Macaca mulatta: one gene and its partners. The main gene of each other region encodes a partner of the protein of the gene in region 2 in a complex. Links are inferred from orthologs where the notes say so. Each region holds a gene or a part of one and is shown on either strand. Other genes may lie near its edges. The genes, in order: ACVRL1, BMP10 and BMPR2.

What was found.
Region 1: the proteins of BMP10 (region 2) and ACVRL1 are in contact, whole or in part, in a crystal structure (PDB 6SF1), measured with the Homo sapiens proteins. The link is inferred for Macaca mulatta from reciprocal best matches to the Homo sapiens genes BMP10 and ACVRL1. Residues at the interface, in NP_055297.1 of Homo sapiens: Tyr322, Asn357, Tyr358, Pro359, Ala361, Glu362, His363, Pro366, Thr367, Lys368, Ile371, Leu375, Leu378, Lys379, Ser381, Lys386; in NP_000011.2 of Homo sapiens: His40, Val54, Val56, Arg57, Glu58, Glu59, His66, Gly70, Asn71, Leu72, His73, Glu75, Leu76, Phe84, Val85, His87.
Region 3: the proteins of BMP10 (region 2) and BMPR2 are in contact, whole or in part, in a crystal structure (PDB 7PPA), measured with the Homo sapiens proteins. The link is inferred for Macaca mulatta from reciprocal best matches to the Homo sapiens genes BMP10 and BMPR2. Residues at the interface, in NP_055297.1 of Homo sapiens: Tyr329, Lys333, Asp338, Ser339, Trp340, Ile342, Ala343, Pro344, Pro345, Gly346, Tyr347, Glu348, Glu395, Pro396, Ile397, Ser398, Ile399, Leu400, Leu402, Val407, Tyr409, Phe411, Ala417; in NP_001195.2 of Homo sapiens: Asp38, Ser64, Tyr67, Leu69, Lys81, Cys84, Trp85, Ser86, Ile88, Gly89, Asp90, Pro91, Gln92, Glu93, Thr103, Thr104, Pro105, Pro106, Ile108, Tyr113, Phe115.

Annotation. Positions count from the first base shown.
Region 1 is NC_133416.1:59,096,339-59,099,993, reverse strand, and holds part of ACVRL1 (activin receptor type-1-like), read right to left. Parts: coding exon 3,473-3,655; intron 3,271-3,472; coding exon 3,171-3,270; intron 2,809-3,170; coding exon 2,662-2,808; intron 2,056-2,661; coding exon 1,780-2,055; intron 1,224-1,779; coding exon 1,026-1,223; coding exon of another isoform or gene 1,004-1,025; intron 1-1,003. UniProt on the Homo sapiens protein: Type I receptor for TGF-beta family ligands BMP9/GDF2 and BMP10 and important regulator of normal blood vessel development. On ligand binding, forms a receptor complex consisting of two type II and two type I transmembrane serine/threonine kinases.
Region 2 is NC_133418.1:55,899,646-55,902,264, reverse strand, and holds part of BMP10 (bone morphogenetic protein 10), read right to left. Parts: intron 649-2,619; coding exon 1-648. UniProt on the Homo sapiens protein: Required for maintaining the proliferative activity of embryonic cardiomyocytes by preventing premature activation of the negative cell cycle regulator CDKN1C/p57KIP and maintaining the required expression levels of cardiogenic factors such as MEF2C and NKX2-5.
Region 3 is NC_133417.1:107,759,913-107,763,567, reverse strand, and holds part of BMPR2 (bone morphogenetic protein receptor type-2 precursor), read right to left. Parts: intron 3,188-3,655; coding exon 3,015-3,187; intron 623-3,014; coding exon 1-622. UniProt on the Homo sapiens protein: On ligand binding, forms a receptor complex consisting of two type II and two type I transmembrane serine/threonine kinases.

The DNA of each region.
Region 1 (3,655 bases), on a different chromosome or scaffold from region 2:
AAAGGCCAGAGAGGTTTAAGTGCACACAGTGATGATGAGCACTGGCCCTGGAGCAGACTGGCCGGTTTCAGACCCTGATGCTGCCTCAAGCCCGCTGTCATTCTGTGCCCCCATCTCCTCAACTGTACAATGGGGACAATATGAGGTCAGGCACTCATTCTATCTACAGCAATAACGGCCACTAATATTTAGCTCTAGATATTGTTCTAAATACTTAGATTATCTCAACAACTGGAAGCTATTTTTATTCTTTCTTTCTTTATTTATTAATTTTTTTTTTTTGAGAGAGGGTCTCACTCTGTCACCCAGACTGGAGTGCAGTGGTGCGATCTCGGCTCACTGCAACCTCTGCCTCCCAGGTTCAAGCAATTCTCCTGCCTCAGCCTCCCGAGTAGCTGGGATTACAGGCGTGTGCCACCAGAGCTGGCTAATTTTTGTATTTTTAGTAGAGACAGGGTTTCGCCATGTTGGCCAGGCTGGTCTCGAATTCCTGACCTCAGGTGATCTGCCCGCCTCGGCCTCCCAAAGTGCTGGGATTACAGGCATAAGCCACCGCCCCCATTTTACAAATGAGGAAACTGAGGCACAGAGAGGCCAAATAACCTACCCATGGTCATGGCAAAATCAGCAATAGAACCCAGGAAGTCTGATTCCAAGCCTATGGTCTTAGCCACTAAGCAATACCACTGCCTTGCCCATATCAAAGAATCAAATAAGATAATACATGTAAAGTATATAGCATGGCATCTGGCACATATTTAAGCTCAATCAATGTTAGCTGCTATTAATATTTCTGTTATTATCACGTACAAGATTTCACAGCCAGACTCACAGACCCCGTTATCTGTTTTTAAGGTTTATACCTTAAAAGGTCACTCAGCTGAATCAGCTGGTGGGCTGCATGGAAAGGGTGCCAGGAGGTCTGGCTGCAAACCTCCCAGGCCATGGGCACTGGCCATGGCAGGAAGCCCCTGGCTCCACGGGCCAATTGCCCTTTCCCTACCCTGTGTAGGGTGGACACTCACCGTTCACGATGGTCCGGCGGGCGATCTCCCACAGCACCAGGCCAAAGGCCCAGATGTCAGTCCACTTATAGGACTCAAAGCAGTCCGTGCGGATCTGCTCATCCAGCACCTCGGGTGCCATGTACCTCTTGGTGCCTACTCTCGGGTTGTTGCCGATGTCCAGGTAATCGCTGCCCTGTGAGTGCATCACAGCCAGGCCTGTGGGGGTGAGGCCTGTCACTCCTGTCCCTCTCCCTGACCTGGGGTCCAGGGGGCAGGCAAGGTGGGGACTGAGAGAAGCAGTGGGACAGAGAGGGGGAGGCAGATGGAGACCTGCATGGAGATGGGCTGGAAGACAGTGACCACAGAGAGAACCACCGCCCCAGGTACTCTTTGCTTATGTAGTGCTCTTTAGGTTCTCAAGAACCCAGCGAGATGTGAGTGGGCAAGGCAGGCATTATGATGCCCACTTCATGGAGCAGAGCCGGAGGCTGGTGCCGGGGAGGGATATAGTTAGCGAAGCCAGGAATGAGAATCCAGGTTTCTGGCTCCTGCCTCCTTTCTCCCAACTCCTGGAGCCAGGATGGTATGGTGGAAGGAGTCTGGTTTGAAAAGGGTGTTCAGACAACTCATGCGGTCTTGCAGAGGAGAACTGAGACAACATGCACCTCTGTTTTCAAGCGCCCATCATGGTCACCGCCCATAGGCAAAGGAGAGGAGAGAGCACGAGCTGTGCCCACCTGTGAAGGGTCTGCCCCTGCCCTGCCCAGCTCACCCAGGTCAGCAATGCAACACTGCAGGTTGCTCTTGACCAGCACGTTGCGGCTCTTGAAGTCACGGTGGGCAATGGCCGGTTTGCCCTGTGTACCGAAGATCTCCACGTGCAGGTGTGCCAGGCCACAGGCTGCGGACACAGCTAGCCTCAGAGCCAAATGCGGCTCCAGCGTCTGTCTCTGCAGAAAGTCGTAGAGGGAGCCGTGCTCGTGGTAATGCGTGATGAGCCACAGCTGCGTGCTCGAGTTGCGGGAGGTCATGTCTGAGGCGATGAAGCCTGTGCACAGAAGGGTCGGGTGACTCAGCCAAGGGGCTGGGGCTAAGGGAGGCTGGAGTGGTCAGGGTCAGGGTGGGGTCGGGGGAGAGGGAATGGGCTGGGTCACTGCTAAGCAAGGTCTGGGGTGGGGGTTGATGTGGCTTAGGTCAGAGACAGAGCTGGAGTCAGAGGTTGGGTCTGGGCCTGGCTTAGTGGCTTGCACCTGTAATCCCAACACTTTGGGAGGCCAAGGCAGGAGGATCGCTTGAGCCCAGGAATTTGAGACCAGTCTGGGCAACATAGGGAGACCTCGTCTCTACAAAAAATAAAAAAGTTAGCTGGGCATGGTGGCACATGCCTGTGGTCCCAGCTACTCAAGAGGCTGAAGTGGGAGGATCGCTTGAGCTCAAGAGATTGAGGTTCCAGTGAGATTGCACAACTGCATCCCAGCCTGGGTGACAGAGCGAGGCCCTGTCTCAAAAAAAAAAAAAAAAAAAAAAGAGGTTGGTGTTGCAGGTGGGCTGGGAGTCCTTCAGGGTTCTGTTAATGTCTGGAGGTCTGTGAATTCGAGCCCTGAGTGCAGGAGGGCAAAGCCCCAGGCCTGGCACAGCCGGCCCCTCCCCTTGCCTAGGATGTTGTCGTGTCTGAGCAACACTGTGTTGTAGATCTCAGTCTCCCGGAACCAGGACTGTTCGTCCCTCGAGGAGAAGATCTTGACGGCCACACTCTCACCGTGCCACAAGCCCCGCCACACTTCGCCATAGCGGCCTTTTCCTGATGGCCAGAGGGGAAGGTGAGGGTTACACACTGGGCACACAGAGCCCTGGAGGAGCCCCTTATCTTGATGCTGTGCTGCCTCCCTCGCCCACCCCACCCACAGAACCCCTGACCCTTAGGTTTAAGTTAATCCAGACCCAAACCCAGCGGCAGGCCACCCCCAGCTGCCTCTCGTTCCACCCCGGTCCTGCAGAAAGAACCTAGCCCTGGCCCGTCTCCAGCCCACTCCCTGCCCAGCAGAATTCCAGTTCTGACCCAGGCCTGGCACTGCCTGTGATTCCGGAAGCCAAGAACTCCCTCACCCCTCAAGGCTCATGAGAGCCCTTGGTCCTCATCCACCGGGCTCACCCACTGCTCACCCACACACTCCACCAAGGCAACCTGCCGTGCCACTGTCCTCTGCACCAGGAAGGGGAGCCCCGAGCCACTCCCTGTGGTGCAGTCACTGTCCAGGAGGTCCTGGGGGTATGGAGAGTCCACTCAAAAGCTGCCCTAACCAGCCGCAGCCCCATTCTCCATCCTCAACCTGGGACCTGCTGGGTCACTGCAAGCTCCTCACTCGCCCAGCTCCCCACCGGCTCTACTCTCTGGATGACCCCTCTGATTCCGCAGTTGCTATCTGCCCCACTCCACCCTGTGTCCCAGGTCCCCAGGCCCATACCCCCAACATGCTGTCGCCCTGCTCAGATGCTTTCAGGATGAGACTGGACTCTCCCAGCTCGCTGTGCAGGCCCCGCTGCTTCTCCTGCCTCCGTCGGACATGCCACAGGCCCACGACACCCAGGGCCACCAGGGCCAGCAAGGCCAGCACGGGGCCCAGGATCAGGGCCAGCTGGCTGTCTGT
Region 2 (2,619 bases):
GCGGGGTCCTCTTACAGTAGTTTCCTTTGGCGTTCCTTCTGATTCGGGCAGTGGAGTCGTAGATGATGTTTGATCTCATCTGCAACAAAGCCTCTTCCCCAGGTCCACCGGAAAAGCCATCCAGGCCCAAGTTGTCTAGCTCTGGAAGTTGCTCATGGGAAATCATTTCATTTAGTTCCTCCTTCCTCTCCTTGTCACTGCTTTGGTCATCAGAAAACACTATGAGCAAAGGGTTATGCTTATTCTGGGCACTGGTGTCTATTTCCAATCGTCCACTGCTGGCATCCTCAGCTTCATCGTGTTTGCTCTCAATGTGAACCTCCAGCTGGTGGGTGGATGAGCCTGACTTTTGCCAATGTCTGATGGCATCTGTGACATCAAAAGTCTCCCACTCACTGTTGGTTCCATAGATCTCCCCTGACACCAAGACCAGCATGTTTCTTTCTCCCTCATTATCCCCTTTGCTCTCCAGCACTTCAAAAATGGTAATTTTCCGGTCTACTCCATCGTATATCATACGATCCCTTTGCACCAGTGTGTACAGCCTAAGTTCAGCCATGATGACCTCTTCATGGTGAGGAATGGACACATTGAAGAGGAGGGGGTATTTTCGGAGTCCGTTAAAACTGACTGGCTGGGAAAACAGATCTGAAAAAAGAAATTTGCAAAAATCAGGTTTGCAGAGGGTCTCAGGGAAAAACAGATGCTTATTTATGTAATAAGAAGGCCTTCCCATGCATAAAGCTTAATGCAGAAAGAATGAAGGGAGAAGATCAATGAGGACAAACACAATGTCAGCATTCTGTGTGACACAAGAAATCCCGAAAGGTCAGTGGTAGAATGCCCAAAAGAGTTCAGTTGCCAAGACTAAAATGGAAAATGGGGGTCTAATGGATGGGGTAAAACTCAGTCAGCCTTGCTTGAATAGCTCATCAGACACAGAATTACAGAACTGGGAGAGAACTTGGAGATTGCGTGGGCAAGTCCCTAAATTTCCTGACCAACAAAGAGCCATCAAATGGGACATGTGATTGTTCTTTTCTTGAAGCTTTTCAAGGGTGAGGACTTCATGGTTTTTTAATATTTGTGTTTGTAGTGGGTGGAGATCCCCACACAGTTGGCTGGGCACTGTTCTTCCTAAAAGACCTCCATTTAGATCAGAGGTTGGTAAATTATAGCCTATGGGCCAAAATGGGCCTGCTACCTGCTTCGGGAAATAAAGTTTTATTGGAACACAGCCTCATCCACTGTTTTTGTATTGTCTGTGGCTGCTTTTGCACTATAATGGCAGAGTTAAATAGACACGACAGAGAACATACAGCCTGCAAAGCTTAAAATCGTTATTATCTGTCTGGACCTTTACAGAAGAAACTTGCTGACTTCTGTTCTAGGCAACAAAGCCTGACAAGGTCAATAAGACAGCCATAAACCAAGAGGGTCACAGCAATTGAATTTTGGTTATATGGTCCTCTATAAAGAGTAATGGGAGAAAGTGAATCCTGGGACTAGATTGGTTGCCTTAGTCTTGTACCCCTAGCACCTAGCATGGAGCATGGCACATATAACTCATTCAATAATGTTTATGAATCAACTCTGTAAAAGTCCTTTAGTCGTAAAAGGACACCTCCAAATACTATCATGTTGACTTCCTATCTGAATATTTTACAGTTAGCCCAAAGCTCCTGTACACTTGCCTCAGGTAATGAGTCTACAAGGAAGCCCTGAAGGCATTTGCCATCAGATTATCAAAGGGCTCCATGGCACTGAAGATGCTAAGGACCACCAATTGGGGGTTCTCCCTCATCATTGGCAACATTTCTCCAAGTATATACTTAATTCATGATCTCAGTGAGTCCCTGTTCCAGATTATAATCTTTTAATATTTTTTTAACTTGATCTAATTATTTTACACTTATTATCTATTTTAGACTTTACAATGATGTTCCTAAGCAACATCATTCATGAAAGGAGAGATTTGAGGTGATATTTATTTATGTTTGCTAAAAATCCATATTAATAAAAATATACAATTATTTCACATGATTCATAGCTTTCTATGGGAACCACTTAAAATCATCTCACACACTGCCAATGGGAAATACTTACCTACAGAATGAATTTAAACTCCCTGGAATGGCTTTCAAGATCAGCTATACATGGGTCTTAGCCTCCTGATCAGACATAACTTCCTTACATCCTCCACAGTGCACGGAACACTGTGATTACTCAGTAATATTTGTGAACAATTGAATGGATTTGTAAACCCTTCTGTCTCAACTACATTGATATCTTTACCACCTGTCAAAACACTCTTTTTTCCCCGTAATTTTCACGTTTTCACTTGTTCTTCTGACCCTTGGAAAGCCCTTTCACCTCACCTCCACCTATCCAGCTCTGACATCTCCTGTAAAAGGCTCCCTTACTTCTTTATCTGAAAGTTCCCTCCCCTCCCCTCTGAAATCACTTGAGCACTTTACATCTCCTTTGATCTTTGTCATTTACATCCTTATATTTCAGCCATCTTTTTATGAATGAATTTTCCCAACTAGATTGCCATCCTCCTGGTTTGAATGGCTCAAAACTCCCTTGTATGTCTCTGTCCTACTATGATGGCTTAAA
Region 3 (3,655 bases), on a different chromosome or scaffold from region 2:
ATCAGGAATTAAACATGCTTGGCCATTTGCAGCCTGTGTGAAGTCCTGCTGTCCAGTTGCTTCTACTGCAAGTTTTATGAGTGGGTAAAGCAAGCTAGAACTAGTACTGCTCAGTGGGTCTGGCCCACTGAACTGTTTAAGAGAGTGCTCCATGAGATTCTCATCAGAGCTTTCCTTGAGGTTCTTATCAACTTCTTTTGGGTCTAGCTTGTTGGTCTCCAAGTCTTCTTCTGTCAGCTGTAGGCAGACAGGGGTTGGCCCAATTGACTGTGCAACATTTGTGGCATGCAGATTTGTTTCATCTGGGTATGGCATCTCAGATATAGTAGTCATGCCAGTACTTGGTGTGAGGCCTGTGGTGTTTGTGGTTGTTGTGTTGGTGGAGAGGCTGGTGACACTTGTTTCAGGGCTGGGTATTCGAGCTTGTGCTTGCTGTCGTTCATAGTTAATCGAATTTCGGTTTTTTTCCCCTATAGTCAAAGGTGTGCTGGACATAGAATGCTCAGAGGAAATATTCTTCACGATGCTGTCGGTATGATGGATAGAGTCTTCAATGTATGAGGAGGAAGAATAATCTGGATAAGGACCAATTTTTGGCACACGCCTATTATGTGACAGGTTGCTTAAAGAAAGAAAAAAAGTATCACATTGAGAATGTACATTTATGATAAATTGTCTCTCCAAGTTTGACACCTCTGATTTTAAAGTCTGAGTCGTTTTTCATTTTCTTCCAAACACATATTTTTCTAAAGGTTAAAAAGTCTAATCAAATAATCAAGTGTCAATTAATAACTTGATAAGTGTTAGTTATACATGAATTAAGCCTACTGAAAAATGTATGTGGATCAGATATAATTTTTATAAATGTTTATTATTTTGGTTTATAAGAGTTAATTTAAAAATCTCCCCTATAGTTGTGTAACATCATTAAATATATATTTATGAAATGTATATTCATATAACTAGACATTATGTTTTATGAGAGGAAGAACCATGGTATATGTTTTCTGTACTTCCATAATTCTAGATGCATGGTGCCTACTCAAAAGTTATGTTATCAATTAAGTTCCAATGGCCAAATGGTAAAAAGAATATAAGCTTTTAGGTTGTTCCAAAGGCCTCCAATAAGAAGCACACCCTAGTAATGGCGCATATCTTTCTGGGATAGTCTGAGTCATATCAGTAAAAGTCCTTGAGCCTAAGGTATAAGGCAGAATATGATGTTCAAATAAAGGATCAAAGATTCAGAATTGCTCTCCAATTATCATGGGTTCTTTGCTGTCATTGTCATTCCTTGGGAATGTCCGTTATTTATAAGGGAGATGACAGGAGGAAAAGAAGAAAAAGTTGTTATACAGTACAAGAAAAGACATGGAGGGTAAGATTCAGTAAAATAAAACTTAGAGTAACTATGGGATGAATGATAATTTTGGGGAAATTATTAGTAGAGACTGGAGATGAGAAGATGCATGCAGAAGGTTGAGCCGAATGACACAGGAGGCAAAAAATGGCCAAATCAAGGTGGGCCATCAAGGGTTTTTTTTCTTACCATTCAAGAAAAGTTTGAAAGCATTCAAAATAAAAGCTTTAGCTGACTTTTGAGAGAGGTATAAACATCATACTAGAGGACATGGTTTTGAAATACAGAGATGAGGGGAGATGAAAGCAGAAGACAGTCCTCAGGTATGTGTAAAGTGAAAAAATTTATAATTAGAATAGCCAGTGTCTAACTTTCTTGATTTGCTGATATATAAGGTGTAAGAGTTTATAACCGACACTAATTTAACCTATATAAAAGTAGTGCAAACCAAATTTTTGACCTATGGCTAATATAAATGGCTTTCACAAATTAGAACAACAGAAAATAGGCTGGGCGCGGTGGCTCACACCTATCGCCTATAATCTCCAGTACTTTGGGAGGCCAAGGCAGGTGGATCACCAGAGGTCGGGAGTTTGAGACCAGCCTGGCTAACGTGGTGAAACCCTGTCTCTAATAAATATACAAAATTAGCTGGGGATGGTGGCTCATGCCTGTAATCTCAGCTACTCGGGAGGCTGAGGCAGGAGAATCGCTTGAACCCAGGAGGCAGAGGTTGCAGTGAGCCAGGATCATGCCACTGCACTCCAGCCTGGGAGACAGAGTAAGACTCAGTTTCCAAAAAACAAACAAACAAACAACAACAACAAAACAAACAAACAAACAAAAAAAACCCCAAAAAACCACACAGGAAAAAAAAAAAAGTTTCAAGAATCGAGTTTATTTTTATTTCAATCTTCTCCAATAACCCTTTCCTGGATGCCTTTCTGAAAGTTTTAAACATGTATTAGACAAAATGACAGAGTCATACAAAGGCTTTTTTACCCCAAATATGGAACAAAGAAATACAGACGTAGAAAGTTCCAAATTGTAGGAATTTTTAAAAAGCCTTTTTATTTAGAACCAAAAATCACAGTTCTAGCAAAGAAAAAGTCTTGTAAAGTAGTATTAATGATGGACTAGAAAGACCTTTGAATTGCTTTCATGTAAAAGTAGTAGTAGTATACTCTATAAGAAAGAGCATTAGATAGGAAGTCTAGAAACCTTAGTGTCAGTGAAACAGTGGTTAGATAGGCAAGTTCATAGTTCCATTTACTTAAAAAAAAAAGCAGAGGAAGAAGGAATAGTAACAACAAAGGATAAATGAGACAATTTACATAGAAGTGCTTATGAACTTTTGGAGTTATGGAAACATTTTACCTTTATTATTGCAGGAAAGTTGGACCATAAATAGAGAAAGACTAACTTCTTTCACTATACCTTTACATATAAAAAAAATGCAGATTTCATCTCGCACTCGTACCAAACAAAAATGTTCAATAGAAGAATAGGAATATTGAAAGAAAAATGATAACTTTAGACTGTATGAGATAATCATTGAACCATTAGGCTGGTTTAAAGGTATTTATTTTCTGTTATTTATTGGGTCTCAGTTTCTAATACTGATTGACAGGTGCCACACCCCTTAGGGTCTTACCGTTCATTCTGCATAGCAGTAGTCATTGGATTGACTGTTGGGCTCACAGATTTGTTTCTTTCCCAAATCATCATAAGTTCAGCCATCCTTTCCTCAGCACACTGTGCAGTAAGCCGAGCCTCTGCATCCTGGTCCCAACAGTCTTCGATTGTCTCCTTGAGTGACCTCACTGCCTGTAAGACAAAGTACATGTCAAACCGTGTATCTTTAAAAAAAAAATATACTGAACTTTTCAGTTCACAACATGAGGTAAAAGAAAAATCAATTACCTTAACCAGTATATTTTACATAGCTAAAATAACGTATTTTAGGCTTCAAGGATTTATAAAGGAACATTCTCAAAAGGTGATGAACAAGTAAACAAAAAGGATTTACCTCAACTCCCTGAAGAATTATTCATTAAGGTAAAAGCAACAATAAGTCGCAGATGTTTCTTCAAGGCCACAGGTTTAGGTCATTGTTGTTAATTCACAGTTATATTATGTCAATCAACAGTCACTAACTCTGCTTCAAAAATAAGTTTTGAGTTTGATGGAATTTGGGGGCATTTGGCTATCTTCTATCTCTAGGTGAGCTTTTCTCCTTTACCCCCAGTTAAGAGTGCTTGGTTTGGCGCAGTGGCTTACGCCTATAATCCCAGC